4 linked regions of the Drosophila melanogaster genome follow. The protein of the gene in region 2 interacts with the protein of the main gene of each other region in a pairwise test. Each region holds a gene or a part of one and is shown on either strand. Other genes may lie near its edges. The genes, in order: knrl, Inx7, Trim9 and whe.

Region 1 (4,705 bases), on a different chromosome or scaffold from region 2:
TAATGACCTCTAAATGGCTTGGTACTACTTATTATATGATCAGGTTATTCCAAAGGTGGGTCAATATCCCTGATATTTGATCTGCACTTGTTTAATCGAGCTTTTGCCTTAAACTGATTGAAGAATAGCTCCTAATCCGTTTGGTACTCTGACATTTAACCAAGCTGCCAGCTAATAATAATAATAACCATAGTAATATCATTATATATCGCGATGCAAATGCTGGCGGAACTGGGCTGCATAGCTGCACCTAAAAACGAACGACGAAGACAATCAGCTGCCTCACATCAGCGGCTCTCAAGAAGAACCCCGAGAACAGCTCCGTGAGTCACCTCGCATGGGGACCCACTTCTGGGCAGAAGACTCGGCCAGGTCGGATCCCCACCACCCGCCCCTCGCAGCGAGGAGGCATGTTAACTGACAACAGGTGTTTGCTGCTTGCCGTTTGTCTTGAAACCTTGCGGCCTGCTTGCCACATTTGCATTTGATATTTTGTATGCTTGTTTTCCTGCCACTGTTAACGCGTCCGCACTAAATACTTTCACACATTGCGCCCCCTTTCTGCTCTCCTTTGGCTTTTCCGGCCTGGGACTCGGGCCCCTTAAGGATGTGGACTGTTAAAGTCAGCACACGACCTTGATGTGTTAATTTCCCAGCCACTTCTGTCAGTCATCCGTCCGAGATACACTTTTACAATTGTGTTACAATAAAGGGAACTATCTGAAACTCTATACAATTGCACAATTGCAGATAATTTAAACATAGAAATTATCTTTATACCGTGTAAAAAATTGAAAGGATAGTTTAAGTATATGGATAATATTCTAAGTTTCCTTAATTTGTACTAAATCGTTGGGACTTCAGTGTAATATAATAATATCCAAATATCCAATTTTGCATTAGGTGCATACCTTTTTTTAGAGTGTTGGTCTAAGGAACAGCCTCAGGAAAGAGCTGTGATCTTAAAAGGTGCCAGCTAAATCAACCAGTGAAGAAGATTGCCCCAGCTAACTAGAATAAGTGCGCACTCTGCGATTTGTAGAACATGGCAAACTTACAAGGCACTCGCCATAAGTGCGAGTATATAGGTTCTGCCAATATTTGCGACACATGCAAAAGCAATCCAAGTTAGATTCTTCATTTGCCTGCAAGCGAGTCAGGGCAAAATGCACTTTAAAAAATTATCAGTTTTTTAGATACAAATCTTCTGAATTTCCAAAAATGAATGATCACTTTATTTCTAATTGAAAAGTCACTTCTTTGTAAATATAGTTAGATGATAGGCATTTCTCATTGATCAATAGAATATTATATAAATTATTATTTAAGCTGCAGCATCAAGCAAACTAAAATGTTCACAAATTTCCAGCTTGAATATTCTAAGAATTATTTTATCAAAATAATTATTTTTGATCCTTGATGGATTAGGCAGCACCACTTTCCATTTAGTTCCTTCGCTATTGAGCGCAATAATTTCTTTCAGTGCCGCAGTTAATGCCATTCCCATGGATTTCGCCTGCGTTTTCGAATTTTTGTAACAAATATTCTGGCAAATAAAGCTATACACGCTATTTGCATTATAAAGCAAACATGTGCGGCGACTATATCTGTGCAGGCCATCTCGCTCGCACTTGACTTACATTGATTCTGTTATATAGTCGTAAAGTTTATTTGCCTTGCCCTTGCATGGTTGTTGTTGTTGATCTAGCCATGTTTTATGGCCACACTAAAAAGTGCACTGGTCAACAAAGATCGGCCAGAGAAAACTTTCTCACAAAACCGTAGCTGGGGGCTATAGCTCCTACTGGGCTGTCGTATAAGTGTCATATAGGGGAGTGTGTATATGGTTTGTATAATTAAATCATACAAACCCCGCCGACAGTCGTAGACAGTTCGTCAGTTAGTCGGATTGTCAAGCGTTATCTGGCGTCGCCATCTTCATCTTGATTTTTTTTGTTTTATGAATTCTATTCGTTAATGAAATTCACATGTTCCCCATCTACAACTCCGAAGCCCCATCTCTATCCCCATTTTTATGTCCGCATGATGGATGTGTCTCAAAAAAGCCCGTTCGTTCCGTTTCTTCTATATTTTTTTTTGAGGGCGCCATTGAACCTTTGAACTTACCTGCTTTTACTGACCGATCAGCCTATCAAGTTAATCCAATTTATTTGCTTAGTGTTTCTATTTCGTTGCGCACTTAAGGTCTGCGTCTCCTAACATTGTGAACTTTCCGTTTAAGGTTTTGTGTATTTTCGTGTATTTGCTTGCTATTATTTTTTGTTCACCTTGCGCCAATAAAACGTCACTTGAGCGTATAGAGTTGTTGCTGTTTTTGCTCAAATTGCACTTGACTTTTAGAACTTTAGGCGAGCGTGAAGCATGTTTAATATATATCTTTTGGGTTGTTTGAGTATGTGTGTTTTTGCATATAGCAGGGTGTACATATATCACAAGGAGGCAATATTTTGTATAATTTTTATTGTAATACAAAGTTTTAAAGTTTTGCAGTATGGTTAAATTTTAATTTAGCTAGAGATATTTCCGTGGGACTTTATTTGGTGCTGTTTTTACGCCTTCTGTGTTTTGAATGCGAGTTTTTATGGAGTGACCACACCTTTGTGTGAGGGCACTCCTGGCTGCGCACGCGCACTTGCCGTAAATTTCTTTATTTCCGCTTTCGTTTGCCGCTTTTGAGTTTTTTTGCAGTGACGTGTTACAGACTGAACTCTACTATTTCAGTTGGCACTACATATACATATTCGTAGTATTGTTACAATTCATTTTATTTAACTGAGTAATTTTTTGATCTTAATTTGCATGTGTTGATTTTTAGCGGCGGCCAAAACAACGTAACGCCTGGGACGTAAGACGAAGACGACGCAACGACGACGGCGACGTGCGATCGAGCGTGCGAGCAAGAAGCGCGAGCTATCACTAAAGACTGATGTTAAGCAGTTCTGCAAAGTGCTCACACCGCTGCGACTCGGCGACTCAGATGCTTTGCAATATCATCCGACGAACGCTCGGTAGCACACTGAGCTGAGACTTCGGCTACCAGAGAAGTAGCAACAACAATATCTCTGGCCGGGGAGATGATACTACTATAAACAAAAACTACAAACTGGTCGAAGAAGCAGTAACAGAAACCGAAACAAAAACAAAAGACTGCAAAAGCGACAAACTCGAGCCCAGCTGGGGTGCGATTGTGTGTGTGAGGAAGAAGACGATTCCGATTCTCTCTAACGGTGATACACCCGAACTCTCAACCCCCAACCGAAAGACAACCAGGGAGAGAGAGAGCGAGAGTGAGACTTAAAAGAGCGACTTTGACTCAAATTGCCTGTCTGTGTGAGCCGCTGTTTGAGTGATGTTAACTCAAATCCGAGTCGATTCGGCTATTGAGTTGTATTCACAGATCAAGCTGAAACTGAGTAAATGCATATGAACATATATTAAAAACGTATAATTACTAACATAAATACGAACTATAACTATAGAAAAGGCACCAACAAATTTAGAAAAAAATGCATGTCGTGTTTGCAATATATATATAAATTGCACAGTTTATTTCTCGGTTAAGATATAATAATAAATTCCTAGTAACTGCGAACAAATATAAGTCGTTTAAGATGTAATCTAAGTCTATTTAGCGTGTTGTTTAATTTGACCAATCTTAAGTATTTCCTTTTTCTTTTTTCTACTTTATTTATAATCAATTTTATTCGTTAGATAAATATAATATAATTTAATAAATTTAACGATTGTTAAGGAACATAGTTTTGTTGATTTAGTGTCCAATGTTATATAACTGGGGAATATTTATGGCAAGCTGATCAAATGTGGTATATAGTAAATTAACAATATAACATACTTGATTAGTTCAAAAAAATAAGATACAATACAATATACAATATTTGCCTCCAAATACATCATTATTTTTCCAGTTGCTCACTTTGAATATTGCACTCGATTGTTTTTCTCAATCGCTCACCATTTTGTGCGGCTTTTGAGTGCTTCACTCACAGGGCACACACTCTCGTGAATATATCTACTCGAAGAATTCGTTACCACATTTGATTGGCTCGATTAACACAATCGGAGCACCGTTATATCCAGTATACTCACACAGACAACCGGTAAAGAGAGCGGCGTGCTCATGAGAGCGGAATCCACTAACACCAGCGCAAAACGGGATCGTGCTGCAGTCGTCGTCGGGTGTTTTAGATAAACGAGCCGATCCCGTTTGCCGTGGGCGAAAACGAGACCGGACTATAAGGCCATCTCCCGTGCATCGGGCGAGTTATATACCCGGCATATATGTTCTCGTTTCGCTGACCAATGCAGAGCAGCTGGCTGAGAGCTACCCATGCAAACGAGAGCGATCAATGAGAGCGATCACTCACACAGACGCATCCATCGAAATCGTATTAGCGGCTTGCCAGTGGGCGTGGTCTATCGATCGGGGAGTTTTAACCCACCACCCACCTCCCCTGAACTCAACAAAAGTCCATCGAACATTGCCCACTTCCAGCGATCTCGACTGAAAGTGCGAATGAGAGGGACTAAGTGTCTCCGAAAGAGAGGGGAGTACGTAAGACTCGAGTGATGGAGTTTTTCTAACGGTCTGCATCTAATTCCTCTTTTTTTTTGCATCTTCCACTAGTTTTTTCGCCCGTTTGGCAGTTGTCAAGCTGTCATAGTT
Region 2 (4,278 bases):
CAAATGGAAATCGGTCCAAATATGGACTTGGTTATGACAGAGCGGCATGTGTAAATGTCTTAATGCAGCTGGAAGCGTTGACTTCAGAAGTTGAGTTCCTCCTATCTCTGGATGTTTTCGATGAAAACCACTTAAACTTCCCAAAACCATAGAAAATATATAAAACTTACAGTAGCAATAACTCACCTGGAGAACCGTCCGTAATCGGGGATACCGTCATGCACATCTATTGAAACTTCACAGTCAGATGGGAGGGTACAAACTGTGACCCAGCTCTGAACTGAACACTGCAGCTCAGTAACAAACACTTTCGAAACCACAACGGATCACTCGAACTGGGTCACCCAACCGCAGTCGCCACTCGACACAAACTGTCGGCCACGCCCACACGCCCCTCCGAAAGGTGTCTGGTCGGTTTTGGTTTTGTTGTGCTTTTTACCCACTTTTTTTTTCAAAATACCTCACACAAAATAACTGTTTTTCTGTCGGCCATTTTGAGAGATTTTGCTTTATGTGAGCCCCGAAAAAAACCTGTTGGATAAAGCTGAAAGCCGAGTCTCTTAATAATAAATATATTTATAATGAAATGATCATATATATATATAAAAAAAAAACAGGTGTAAACAAGACAAAGCTCCAATAATTAATTGCCTAGCGTTAATTGAAATGCATAAATTATACAGGTAACTTTGCCATATCCGAAGTCGATGGCCCTTGGGCTCCGCCGGCAGAGGGCGAGCCATTGCGTCGAAGGTGCAAGAGTGGTGAATCAATCGTATCCAGACCACTGAGCTCCGGATAACGGTTCTTAGCGGGCGTGGGCGGTGCCTCTCGATAGGCATTGACATCGTTATCGTGATCGGGATTGGGGAACTCACTAGCCAAATGATAGATAACCTTCTTGAATAGGAACTCCGAAAGGTTGGAGCGCAGGAAGAAAAGGAACATCCAGTTGGAAAAGTTACACTTATCAATTACCGCCAATAATTCGTTTTCGTCCAGTTGGCCAGGCTTGGCCCAATAGAGAGACCAGCGGGTAAATGTGACACTAATTAAAGTGGGTTAGAAGGGTTATCACATTATGAAAACATATTTCACACCTATATCCATCCACTCACTTTCTGTAGAAGCACAGGGTTAAAATTCTCCAAAGCAGTCCCAGAACAGTAACAATCAAAAGGAAGGCGTACCAGAACCACAGAATAATGTAGATCTTCTCGTTCATGATGTTCAGCGCCATCACGCAAAGGGCATCGTGCATTTGAATGGAGCCAGAGTCACCAAATTTGTGGAACTTGCACTTGGTAATCTTCGGGAATACTAGATCCAAAACGCTCAGCTCGTCGGACCACCGATTTTTCAGGGCATGTGGTCCCAGTGTGAGGAATTGACCGCCCAAAAAACGGTTGGTCCATGTGATCTGCAGCAGAAGATTAATCAGATTGAGCACCTCCGCGAAGACCAAGTGGGCACCCCACGATTGATTCAGCCGCATCCGGTCGATCATTGTGCGACGAATGTCCTTGACCCGCTCCTCCGCCTCCGCCATCGAGGGAATGTTCAGCTTGCCGATACGCAGACTATCGTTCTTCAGGTACCTCGTTAGACCCACCATTCGAAGGCCAAAGACCAGGGCCTTGATCCGGCCGCCCTCCCAACTCTTCCACAGGGCATGGGGAATGTAGAAGCAGAGAGCCTGGAAGAACAGGACAAAGGGCACCCACTGGTAGTATGCATGCCGCTTGATCGTGTCCTTTTCGGGATCGAATGCCCCTATACCAGGTGGCTCACTTCCCGGCCTGTAGGCAGTTTGGTTCTGGTCACGTACCTATTTGGGGTGCAAGCTATGTTAATAAATGATCTACTGCCGCCAAGGCACATAAATAAAATCTATTCTATCATTTGATCATTTCAGGAATGGGTATGTGGCAACATATATCAACCAACTAATAGCAATAAAACGACTCTAAATCGATTAACCCTATTTAAGTTTTAACCAATAATCAAATAGAGTATTGATAACAGTTGCTCTCAATAGATACTTCTGTGTACCCCGTACATAGATATTTTTTTTAATTCCCTGGTGACCTCTTATAATTTTCCCTTTGTGACCCCGCTGACTTACCACTGTGAAGGTGGGCGTGAAGAAGCAGAAGGTGTTGATGACCGGAGACACAACACCGTCGGATAGGCACTGGATGTGCTCCCCGATGTACTGGCGCGACGTGATCAGGAGGGTGGCCACTAGGAGTATTACGAAGGTCCATCGATAGTGCAGCTTGAACACTATATTGTCGATGACCACACGCGTGAGATCGAACTTGAGGTACTGCCTCACCGAACTGAAGGTGTTCAGCATTGTAACGCCTTCGTTATCTTCGGTTTTGGGTTAGGTTCTGGCCCCGATCCGATCCGATCCGATCCCACTTCTACTTCGTTCACTTTCTTACGATGATTACGACAACTATGGCTGGGTGGCAATTGGAAACGGGCTGGCTTCTGGGTTCGGATGGATTTGTGCGCTCCGCTTGCCGCGGCTAGCTCCTCGTAACTGCAAGGCTCGAGACTCTGCACTTGGTCTCCGGGTCTCGGAACCTTCGGTCTCCGGTCTCCGGTCCCCGTTCGCCGATCTTCATCACCATTCCACATTCGTCGGAGAGGGCTTTCTGGCGCCTTATCGACCGCTCATTTTTGGCCAGGAGAGTCGCCCGGGCCCGATAAGATAACTTCGTCGGGCAGAAATACACGGAAATGCCGAATCAGCAATGGTATTGTGTTTAGTTCAGAGTTGTCCAAGAAAAGAGTAAGGGAAATATGAGAACCTACTGGAGTGCGCTACACTTAGCAGGACTTACGTAGACTATTGGACTATGAGAAAAAAAAAAGAAATTTTTTTCAGCTTCTGACTCGCAGTATAAGCTGAGAGAGGGGCACAATCTTTGTCACTTAGGTTTCAGTCTAAAATGTTAGCAATTTAATTCTTTCAGTGTAGGGCTCTCTTGATACCCAAGAAAACTCCGAAGTTTTTCGGTCATATTTCAAATTTCGCCCAAACATGAGTACTTCGGCATGTATTCGGCTCGTGGCTTCATAAGAATCCGAAAATGATAAGACGAAAGTCACAGAAAGAGCGAAAGAAATTATGAAAATAATACTCATTTTCTCAGGGTTTACCTCATCGGTAAGTTGGCTAAATCTCGCCCTGGTGGGTGGGTGAGTAACTTCCCACCCATCGAAATTCATCCAAGATCCAAGAGCAAAGAGGCCAAGATAACCAAGCAAACAATCATAGGAAATATGAATCAGTGCGGGAAAATATATATGTACATATATGACTCAAGAGATTCAGGATATCAGCAAATTAGTTACACTTCCAAAAACATAGCAAAAATCCCTTAGTGATGCAAGAAATGATCACTTGGTTTTAAGAATAACCATAGAGACTTGCATTGAAATCATTCAAGTGTGGAATTGCAAATTCCGCCGTAATCTGGAACTCTCCGGGTCTTAAAGCGTGCCGCTATCGCCACCCATATTGATTCAATACTGCCTATTCTGATGGATGGGACAGTAATTGGATAAGCGGACATATATCGGCTTGGCGTTATCGTATTGACCCAGATCAGTGCTAGACAGAGGGCTATGTACATACTTACTGAGACTCTTCTTCTTAAGATGGATTATTGCTCGGCTGTTTGCCTTTTTGGCGATATCGTTGCAAGGTTCCACGCAAGGCAATCAGGTGGATATTCACCCTGCGCACTATTGTATTTCATTCTTTGGCCCCGACAATCTTATCTTCCAGTCAATCCCCAGAAAAGACAACGAGTGACTGGCTTACTTACTTTCTAGAATGTAACGGAATTCCAACAGAGATTCGCACTATCAGCTCATAAGTATCTACATATATCTGTTGCTTATCTAAATAGCTCGCCTAGGCATTGTATTTTGGTGCTTATTACTTAAGCGCTCAAGTGGCCGCTCCAAAACTTTGCCGGATAAGATAGTCAAAAATGGCCCCTTTACATACGTACATATAACATTTATAAGTCGTGCGTAACTAGAGACCAGTTAACTATATTAGTAATTGCAACATTTTTAGCCGGTTGACTGCTCGAATTTACCTCTACTTGGGTTTCCCAGGAAATTGCTATGATTACGGCTACTACTTTTGCTTTTGCTTACGCCTCCCAGTTGACGAAAGTTCATTGATTCATGTTCAAATAACAATCGCATTGCTTTATTGGCATAGCCCAGATTTTGATATAAACTGATAGG
Region 3 (4,623 bases), on a different chromosome or scaffold from region 2:
TAGATATACAAATAGGGCGAAATGCGCCACAGATACTGTTATCATTGCGCGTACTCTTCAATTATGAAATATGGTGAAAATGCAGGAAAATTTATCTATTCGAATATTCCAGTTTATAGTGCGGGTCTATCAAATGTACTATCGAAATAGTAATGTTTTTTTAACCTATTTATATGTATCTAATAGCCCACTTCTGCTGGAAATCCTGCTTGAGATTCTTAGTTAGATTACAGGTTAAACCAGAGACCAGAGACTGTGAAATACTTTTGCGCATTTGTTTTTGGGATACAAAAAATGCTTTCTATTCCTTCTGCCTTGTTATCCTTCGGATAATATCCTTCTTGACCTGACTAGACAGTTGATTTCCCTGCCTCACTGTCATCCTTTGTTTTGGCTGCCACTGCAATTTGTCACTTTTCGCACTTGGCTCTGTCCTTGTCGCAGTTCGTCCTCTTCCGCTGGCGTCGGTTTGTTGTCCTTGGATGACAGGATGTGCAGGCACTCGAAACATTTGCCATATTAAAATTGCTGCCGTTGACAATTGCCAGTGATTCGACGACAGACGGCGAATTCATGAATTCAACTGGCGAACGACAGGTGAGAGGGCCAAAAAAAACAACAACAAAACAAAAAATGCCACTGAAGTTCTGTGAAATGAAATTCCAAAAGGTAGGAAAACGAAACTTATCGCTGAATTAGCGTGCCAAAGTTGCGAGATTGTGGCACTTGGAAGGTTCCGTCAAAACAAAAGCTAACGAAGGTGGGTAGAAGTTGTAAAGAATTTGCTTTAATGAAATACTTCAACTGGCTAACAGACTCAGAGATACCCCTTTCAAAATGTTTGTCTGCAGTTGTGAAATGTACAAAAATTCTTAGTATTTTTTCAAGCCTTGTTGTTATCCTTTTCTACAGTTCCACATTCATAATACAATTTCGTTGATTTGCAAGCTGCTTTAAGCACCAATATTCCCAAATACTTGCAGCAAAACAATGTTGCATGAAAAATGTTCGGGGCCACAAGACAAGCCATAAATTTTCCACAAAAAAGCCAGACGAAAGGCAACAGTAGAAATGGAATACAATCAACTAAAAAGGAGGAAGCAAGCCAGGATGTGGCCAGGATATGCGATGCCTTCGCCAGCAAATACATATTTATTTCATGAGGTCCCTACTTTCGCCCCTAATTAGTTTGCCTCAATGCCGTATTTTTCTTCGACCCCCCCAAAAAGGACTCTTTTGATTCCTGGCAATGAATTTCCGGACATCACGGTCATATCATTGGCCTTTATTGGCTCTACACAAACTGCTGGGATCTGAACTTGGTTTGCATAAATAACCAATTCCTATTTGGTATTTCTTTAATTAGCACATCTTCCCTCTTCTGTCTTTCAAATAAAAGCACTTTGTTTACCAATAAATTAAACAAATATTTGTATTTGTCTGGCTGTTAGTAGAATGGTCTGCAATATTGACTGAAGGATTCGAGCATATTGTGCATTTAACAAATTAATTTAATAAATACTTGTACTTGTAGTATAGATTCAAGCAGTTTCTCGTTTTGATATGGCATATGCAACTCGCAATCATTAAAGTCAACTATTTAACTATCGAAATCCCATCACACAACTCACCTTTTGAGCCTTGCAGGTGACGTTGATGGACTGGACGTCGTGTGCCTGGTGGCGCAATTCTCCGATGCAAAGTCCGCAGGCGGGAGCCTTGCAGCTGAGGCAGTACTGGGAGAGGGTCTCCTCGTGCTCCCCGCAGACGGACTCCCTCTGCTGGGCGGCGCCGCGCGGCTTGACCAGCGTGTGCTTGGCCAGCGGTCCGCGGGCGGGGTGGGTCAACTCGCGGCAGGCGTCGCAGTAGCGAATCTCGCACTGCTCGCAGATCAGGGAAGCGACCTTGGGATCGGTCTCGCACATCTGGCAGCGGAGGGCCTCGCGGGCGCAAAAGCGATCCACAATGGCCTCCATGGCGCGGTAGGTGGGCAGATTCCTAACGCCTCCGTCGTCGAAGAAGACGAGCTTGCGGCAGAGCGGACAGGTGAGACAGTAGGCGGCTCCAGGCGGTGCCACCACATTGCCCACTCCTGGCAGCAGTCCTGTGCCGGCATAGGACACCGGACGCGATGTGTTCGAGCAGCAGACCACGCCCGAGTCCGCCTCGCTGAAGATGCTCACCTTGTCCGACTGATCCTGGTCGGAGGTGACGCTCTCGCTTCCGGTATTCGAGCTGGCCGTGCTGGCAGCGGAGCTGTGCGAGCTGTGCCGTGTGCCGGGTCCATTGGGATTTGTGACTGGAGCAGCTGCTCCGCCGCCGGCACCGCCTCCATTGCCATGCAACCCATTGTGTCCCGCTGCCGAAGCTGCACCCGCTCCGTTGACAGCGCCCGGTAGAGCCGATCCCGGACTGTACGGCGTCTGGATGTCCAGGGCACAGCCCAGGCAGAGGGCGTGGAAACATGGCAGCAGCACCGGATTGGCGTACAGCTGCTTGCACGTGGGACAGCGCAGTTCGTCCTCCATGTCTGGTGGTTATAATCCGCAAGAGCAATGCGATTCGGATTGAGTTGGCGAGGTCAGAGGTCCTGTTTAAATCGGTTTTATCCTCGCTTTAGTTGGGTTGCACTCTTTGGGACAACATGTCTTTGGTAATCCTCGAATTATTCACTTTACACTTTAATAAAATCGCGTTTAAAATCCTGTTTCTTGTTTACAACTTGTGCGTTAAAACCAAATCATAAATTGTTTTCCACATTTGAAACTTGCGCAATTTTTGTTTAGTTCGTAGTTTTTGGTATCTCAACAGTACCACACTTTTTACCAATCTTCACTTTGAATTCAATTTCAAGTCCTTGGAAAATTCACTTTTCACAAATTTTGTTAAAAATGTCCTTTGTTTTTTTTTATATATATATTTTGCAGTTTGTTTTCTTTCTATTCAACTTTCTTGCCACTTTGATTACGCGCCTAACTTTTGAACGCGACCAATTTCGATTTTGGGCATCCGCAACACGACCGATCCGCTTGAGATTTTTGAACGACTGGCAGTGGAATAACTTGCTTCCGCAGTCGAGGTTTCAATTCGAACTCGAATGCGTTCGACTGAGCGAACCAACTTCTTCATACCGAACTTCTTCAAGTTCGAATGAAATTAAACTATTGTCTAATAACCGCTGAAACATACGCAAAAATAATTATTGTAAAACGTATAAACGTAAAATAAAATTATTATTATTTTTTTTTTTGTTTTTTTTATTGTTTTTTATTTGTCATGTGAGTTAGTTGTTATTTGTTGACTGAAGTTCGATTCGAACATGAGCTGGCTCGATTCGAACATTCTAACTTGACAGTTTGACTACAGTTTGAGAGCGACTGCTTAAGAATAATTTTCTGAGTAAGCACTGGAAATTAAGAATTTGATATAAGGATATTAAAAATAATATAATAATAAATAAAAATATTTCAACAAAGCATTAAAAACAAATATGCGTTCAATTTCACTATCGCATTTTCTATCGTAATGCACGAATTGCCTTATCGTGAGATTGAACTAAAGCTATATAATATGATAAACCTTTATCAGTACAATACGTTTGTTTTACACCAGCTGCAGAAGTAATAGCAACTAACAATTATTCTTTTTAAGAATAAATAAAGTTTGTGATATTTTTATAATATTGTAGTTATATAATAATTGTACCAACTTTTAATAACAAAGTTCCAAGCAGCAGCAAAAGTTTGGCAAGGAACCTCACGACTGACCAAACTATTTGTCAACTTTGACTTGGACTTGAAGAGCTATTAATTGGAGTACCACCACTGTAAGTGGCTCAGGTAAGTGAGCAGGTAATGTCGGTGCCACCAGTGCACCACTATACCACTGCACCACTGATAAGCCCCGACCGGCCACCGACCCACTCGTGCACATGGCGACATTCCTAGTACCAAGTGCTTATATGAAGGTATGTACTACATCGCTCATTCCCCAATGGAGGTGTCAGCTACGTCGATTCTACGATCTACAAATATTATTGGACCACGCTGTTTGTTTGACTGATTTAAAATCGGACTCTGTTTCAGACCGTTTTCCAGTTTGTTTTGACACCGGAGCGGCCAACCGAGCGGGAAATCGAGAGCTAGCGATTGAGGATGGTGAAGAATTCCCCACGGTAACTGACATTCGATATCGGAAAGCTAAATACAAATAGGTGACCTGCTCTAGATGTTTATCTACACAGAGAGAAAATCGTTAGCATGATGGTGTTAAATAAATAAATAGCTTTCTTCAGTATGTATACCTTAGGAAAGTAATAATACTATTTCATATACTATATTTGATTCATTTTAAATTTAACAAAGGGTTTTTCAAATGGTGCTAACACAAAAATTGTTTAAAGTATTCTGATATTTTACAGATATTTTTTTGAGTGCACGCTATACAGCACGGTTAAGGAAAATGATGGAGAACGTAGCAAGAAAATCGTGCGGCGTGGAAAGTGCCTGACTCCCCCCTTTCCCAATTCAAGCATATCCCCACCCAGAGCAGTGCGTAATCCGTTCGACTTAATAAGCCACGTTCCTGCTGGAGTATTTGATCTGGATTTGGAATCGGGAGGTG
Region 4 (2,789 bases), about 14 Mb from region 2:
GACACCAGACACTAAATGCCTCATCAGCATTCCGGTGAGTGTTTATCTGAGGGTGTGAGTGGATTTGCGTTCGGGTTAATCAAAATGTGACCGATGGCAACGACAGCTGACCGCAAATCAAGGGAACGTCCGGGCGGCCAATTACCCCAATAATCAGAACCCGTTGGGAAATCTTTCTAATCGTCCTTGGCAGCAGTCCTGTGGACTGCTACTTGGTATAGATAACTACTAGCTAATAGCTGGCATGTGAAAAATCAGCTAATATCTATATCCGTATCCTTTAAGCTCTCATTAAATTTTTTAGCACACGAATAAGAAATTAAGTTTAGATGAACTGATGGTACAGAAAATGTAATTTATATCTGAAGAGCCATATATCAATCAAGCCATAATTGAAGCGACCGCCAATTCTTGAGGTTATAACGATTATCCTGTTCCCTCCGATTGAACTCAGAAATGAATCCAGACATCTAGAGCTTTGTATCGCATCCTGCGAGTCCCTGTCGTACACCCATGCTCTCCATAAAGCTACCACATAACGGCAGCCACATAGGAAAAGTGGAAAGTGCGGTGCTGAAGTGGAATATCCAGTCCACCGAGCTGGTTTTAGAGCGTCGAAATTGCCTTTTTATTGACAATTCACAGCACGCGCCGTTGAAACAGATCATCAAAGGTTATTACGACTACAGAAAAGGTCCTTTTGTTGCTGTTGTAAATAGATTCATAAGCAACACTACATGCCGGCAATTGCGAGACAGGAAAATAAGCGAAAAGAAATCCTGCGAGTGAAAGTGTTAACACTTAGGGTAAGCTATACACTCGCTGCAAGGATACTATATGTGGATATTCGAGAGTTGGTGCGTGCACTTCTCCGCGGGATAAAGGCAAATTTCAGTCTGAATGTCAAAGTTTGAGCCTGGCAGTACTTTGAAATATTCATAAGAACGAACACTAAGAAAAACAGGGTTAAAGTTAGCTCTCAACTACGATAAATAAAAAAATGTATGCTGGCTAAAAAAAAGAGCACGAAATAACGAAATTTAATGCAAGGTCCTGAAAATAGGCTCGTGTTGCAAAAAACCGGAAAGCAAGAAGCCGAAGCTCAATGTTGAAACATTTGTTTAGTACCAGAGATATGAATTTCCAAGTAGAACTCACACACGGTCATAAAGCAATAAAGCGGAATCATGTGCAGAAATTTTTATAAGTTAGGTGTATCATCCAAGTGGCAAATGCTCCAGGATCTTAGAAATGCGCGGAGTGTGGGATTTGTGGGGGCGAGACAAGTGCAAGTACTTTCCACTTTTTTTGGCCAAATCCCAGCAAAGAGCTTAAGGTTTCAGCTCAATTGTTTTGCCCGACTTTATTTCATTGCCATTTTTATATTTCCCCATCTTGGGTGTGCCGAGAAAAGCTTTAAGCTAAATCAAAATGCATATTTACGGAAAAGAAAAATCTATGAAACAGAAATCTTATAGTTAGATACTTTGCTAAAATAAAAAAGAAACGAAAAAACCTAAAGCTGTTCCAATAAATCTACATTTTATTCATTAGATCACCCGGAATAGCTTTAGGAAGTAAGTATAAATATAATGAATCTAAAGTTTCACAACCACGAGGTTAGTTTGTTTAATATTTTAAGATCACCAGTTGGCCAAGTATTTCCATTATGAAGGGTTTACACAACTTCACTTGGGTCATCGCTGTTTGCACAATGCTTCTGTTTGTCCATCGAAAACATAGAATTGCAAAACACCTGCAATAGATCCGATTCCGTAGAGATCTCCGAGGTATATATAGGGCTCGGGTGCAGTTGGTGAAGTCAATTGAATTTGCTAAGTCAATCATCTACAAAATCAAAATGCGTGTAATCTTCCTCATCGTTGTGCTCGCCATGGTGGCTCTGGCTGCTGTCCAAGGACGTCGTCCTCCAGGACTTCCGCAGGGAGGTCTGGGACCACTTCAGGGCTCTGGAGGACTCCAGCCGCCGCAGGGAATACCTCAGGGACCTCCCCAGGGACTCCCACAAGGACCTCCCCAAGGTGGCAACTCATCCTCCTCCGAAGACTCTTCCTCCCAGGAGAGCTCCAGCGAGTCCTCCAGTGAGGCGTCCGCCTAGAAACTCGATCGCCGAGTCCTTCATGTAAAAACATTCAAAAATCTTTAAATAAAGATATATATTCTGCTTATTTCAATATATAAAACCGTCCACCGATTCCATTAACTGCACCGATTTCCATTTCGAACTCCGAGTAATGGTTGCGTTGCTCCTGCCCGAGGAATGGAAATGGAAATGGGCCTGGGTGTGGGTGTGGGGGCGTGTCTCAAATCGGTTGCCTAAATAAGAAATCATTTTATTTGAAAAGTTTCCCTTTGGCACGCCCCCTCCAGCTGCCACCCCACTTTTTGGAAGGCAGAAGACGGCGACGTCTGCGTTTGGCGACACCAGCAACATCGGGCGAAACAAAAGCAACAAGGGCAACAGCGGTACAACAAAGCGAAGACACCAACAATAAGCTGAAGCAGCTGAAGGCGTTAGGAAGTACCCACACGACTTGGAAATACCTATTGTACGTATGAATTAAAAGCAAAAAAGAACAGCATAAAATATTACTTTCAAAGAGCGTAAAGCTACGTAACTAACAAGGCAACTAGATAATAAGCTATTAAGATAACAACTATTTGTTAAATGGCTTTAAATGATTAGGTACAAATCAAAGGATATTTCGAAATGATAATTGTGACAACTGATAAATTATGCAACTGTATAAAAACCACCGATAACTGGT

What was found.
Region 1: the proteins of Inx7 (region 2) and knrl interact in a two-hybrid assay, tested with the Drosophila melanogaster proteins (one large-scale study listed by BioGRID).
Region 3: the proteins of Inx7 (region 2) and Trim9 interact in a two-hybrid assay, tested with the Drosophila melanogaster proteins (one large-scale study listed by BioGRID).
Region 4: the proteins of Inx7 (region 2) and whe interact in a two-hybrid assay, tested with the Drosophila melanogaster proteins (one large-scale study listed by BioGRID).

What each region holds. Positions count from the first base shown.
Region 1 is NT_037436.4:20,617,615-20,622,319, forward strand, and holds the start of knrl (knirps-like), read right to left. Parts: upstream 3,046-4,705; 5' UTR 2,128-3,045; intron 1-2,127.
Region 2 is NC_004354.4:6,991,055-6,995,332, forward strand, and holds Inx7 (innexin 7), read right to left. Parts: upstream 2,559-4,278; 5' UTR 2,360-2,558; coding exon 2,126-2,359; intron 1,829-2,125; coding exon 1,119-1,828; intron 1,049-1,118; coding exon 676-1,048; 3' UTR 558-675; downstream 1-557. UniProt on the Drosophila melanogaster protein: Structural components of the gap junctions.
Region 3 is NT_033779.5:10,543,309-10,547,931, reverse strand, and holds the start of Trim9 (tripartite motif containing 9), read right to left. Parts: upstream 3,050-4,623; 5' UTR 2,529-3,049; coding exon 1,632-2,528; intron 1-1,631. UniProt on the Drosophila melanogaster protein: E3 ubiquitin-protein ligase activity. During embryonic and larval development, regulates the pattern of axonal projections of class IV nociceptive sensory neurons (C4da) downstream of netrin receptor fra.
Region 4 is NC_004354.4:21,401,790-21,404,578, reverse strand, and holds whe (what else), read left to right. Parts: upstream 1-1,806; 5' UTR 1,807-1,861; coding exon 1,862-2,119; 3' UTR 2,120-2,240; downstream 2,241-2,789.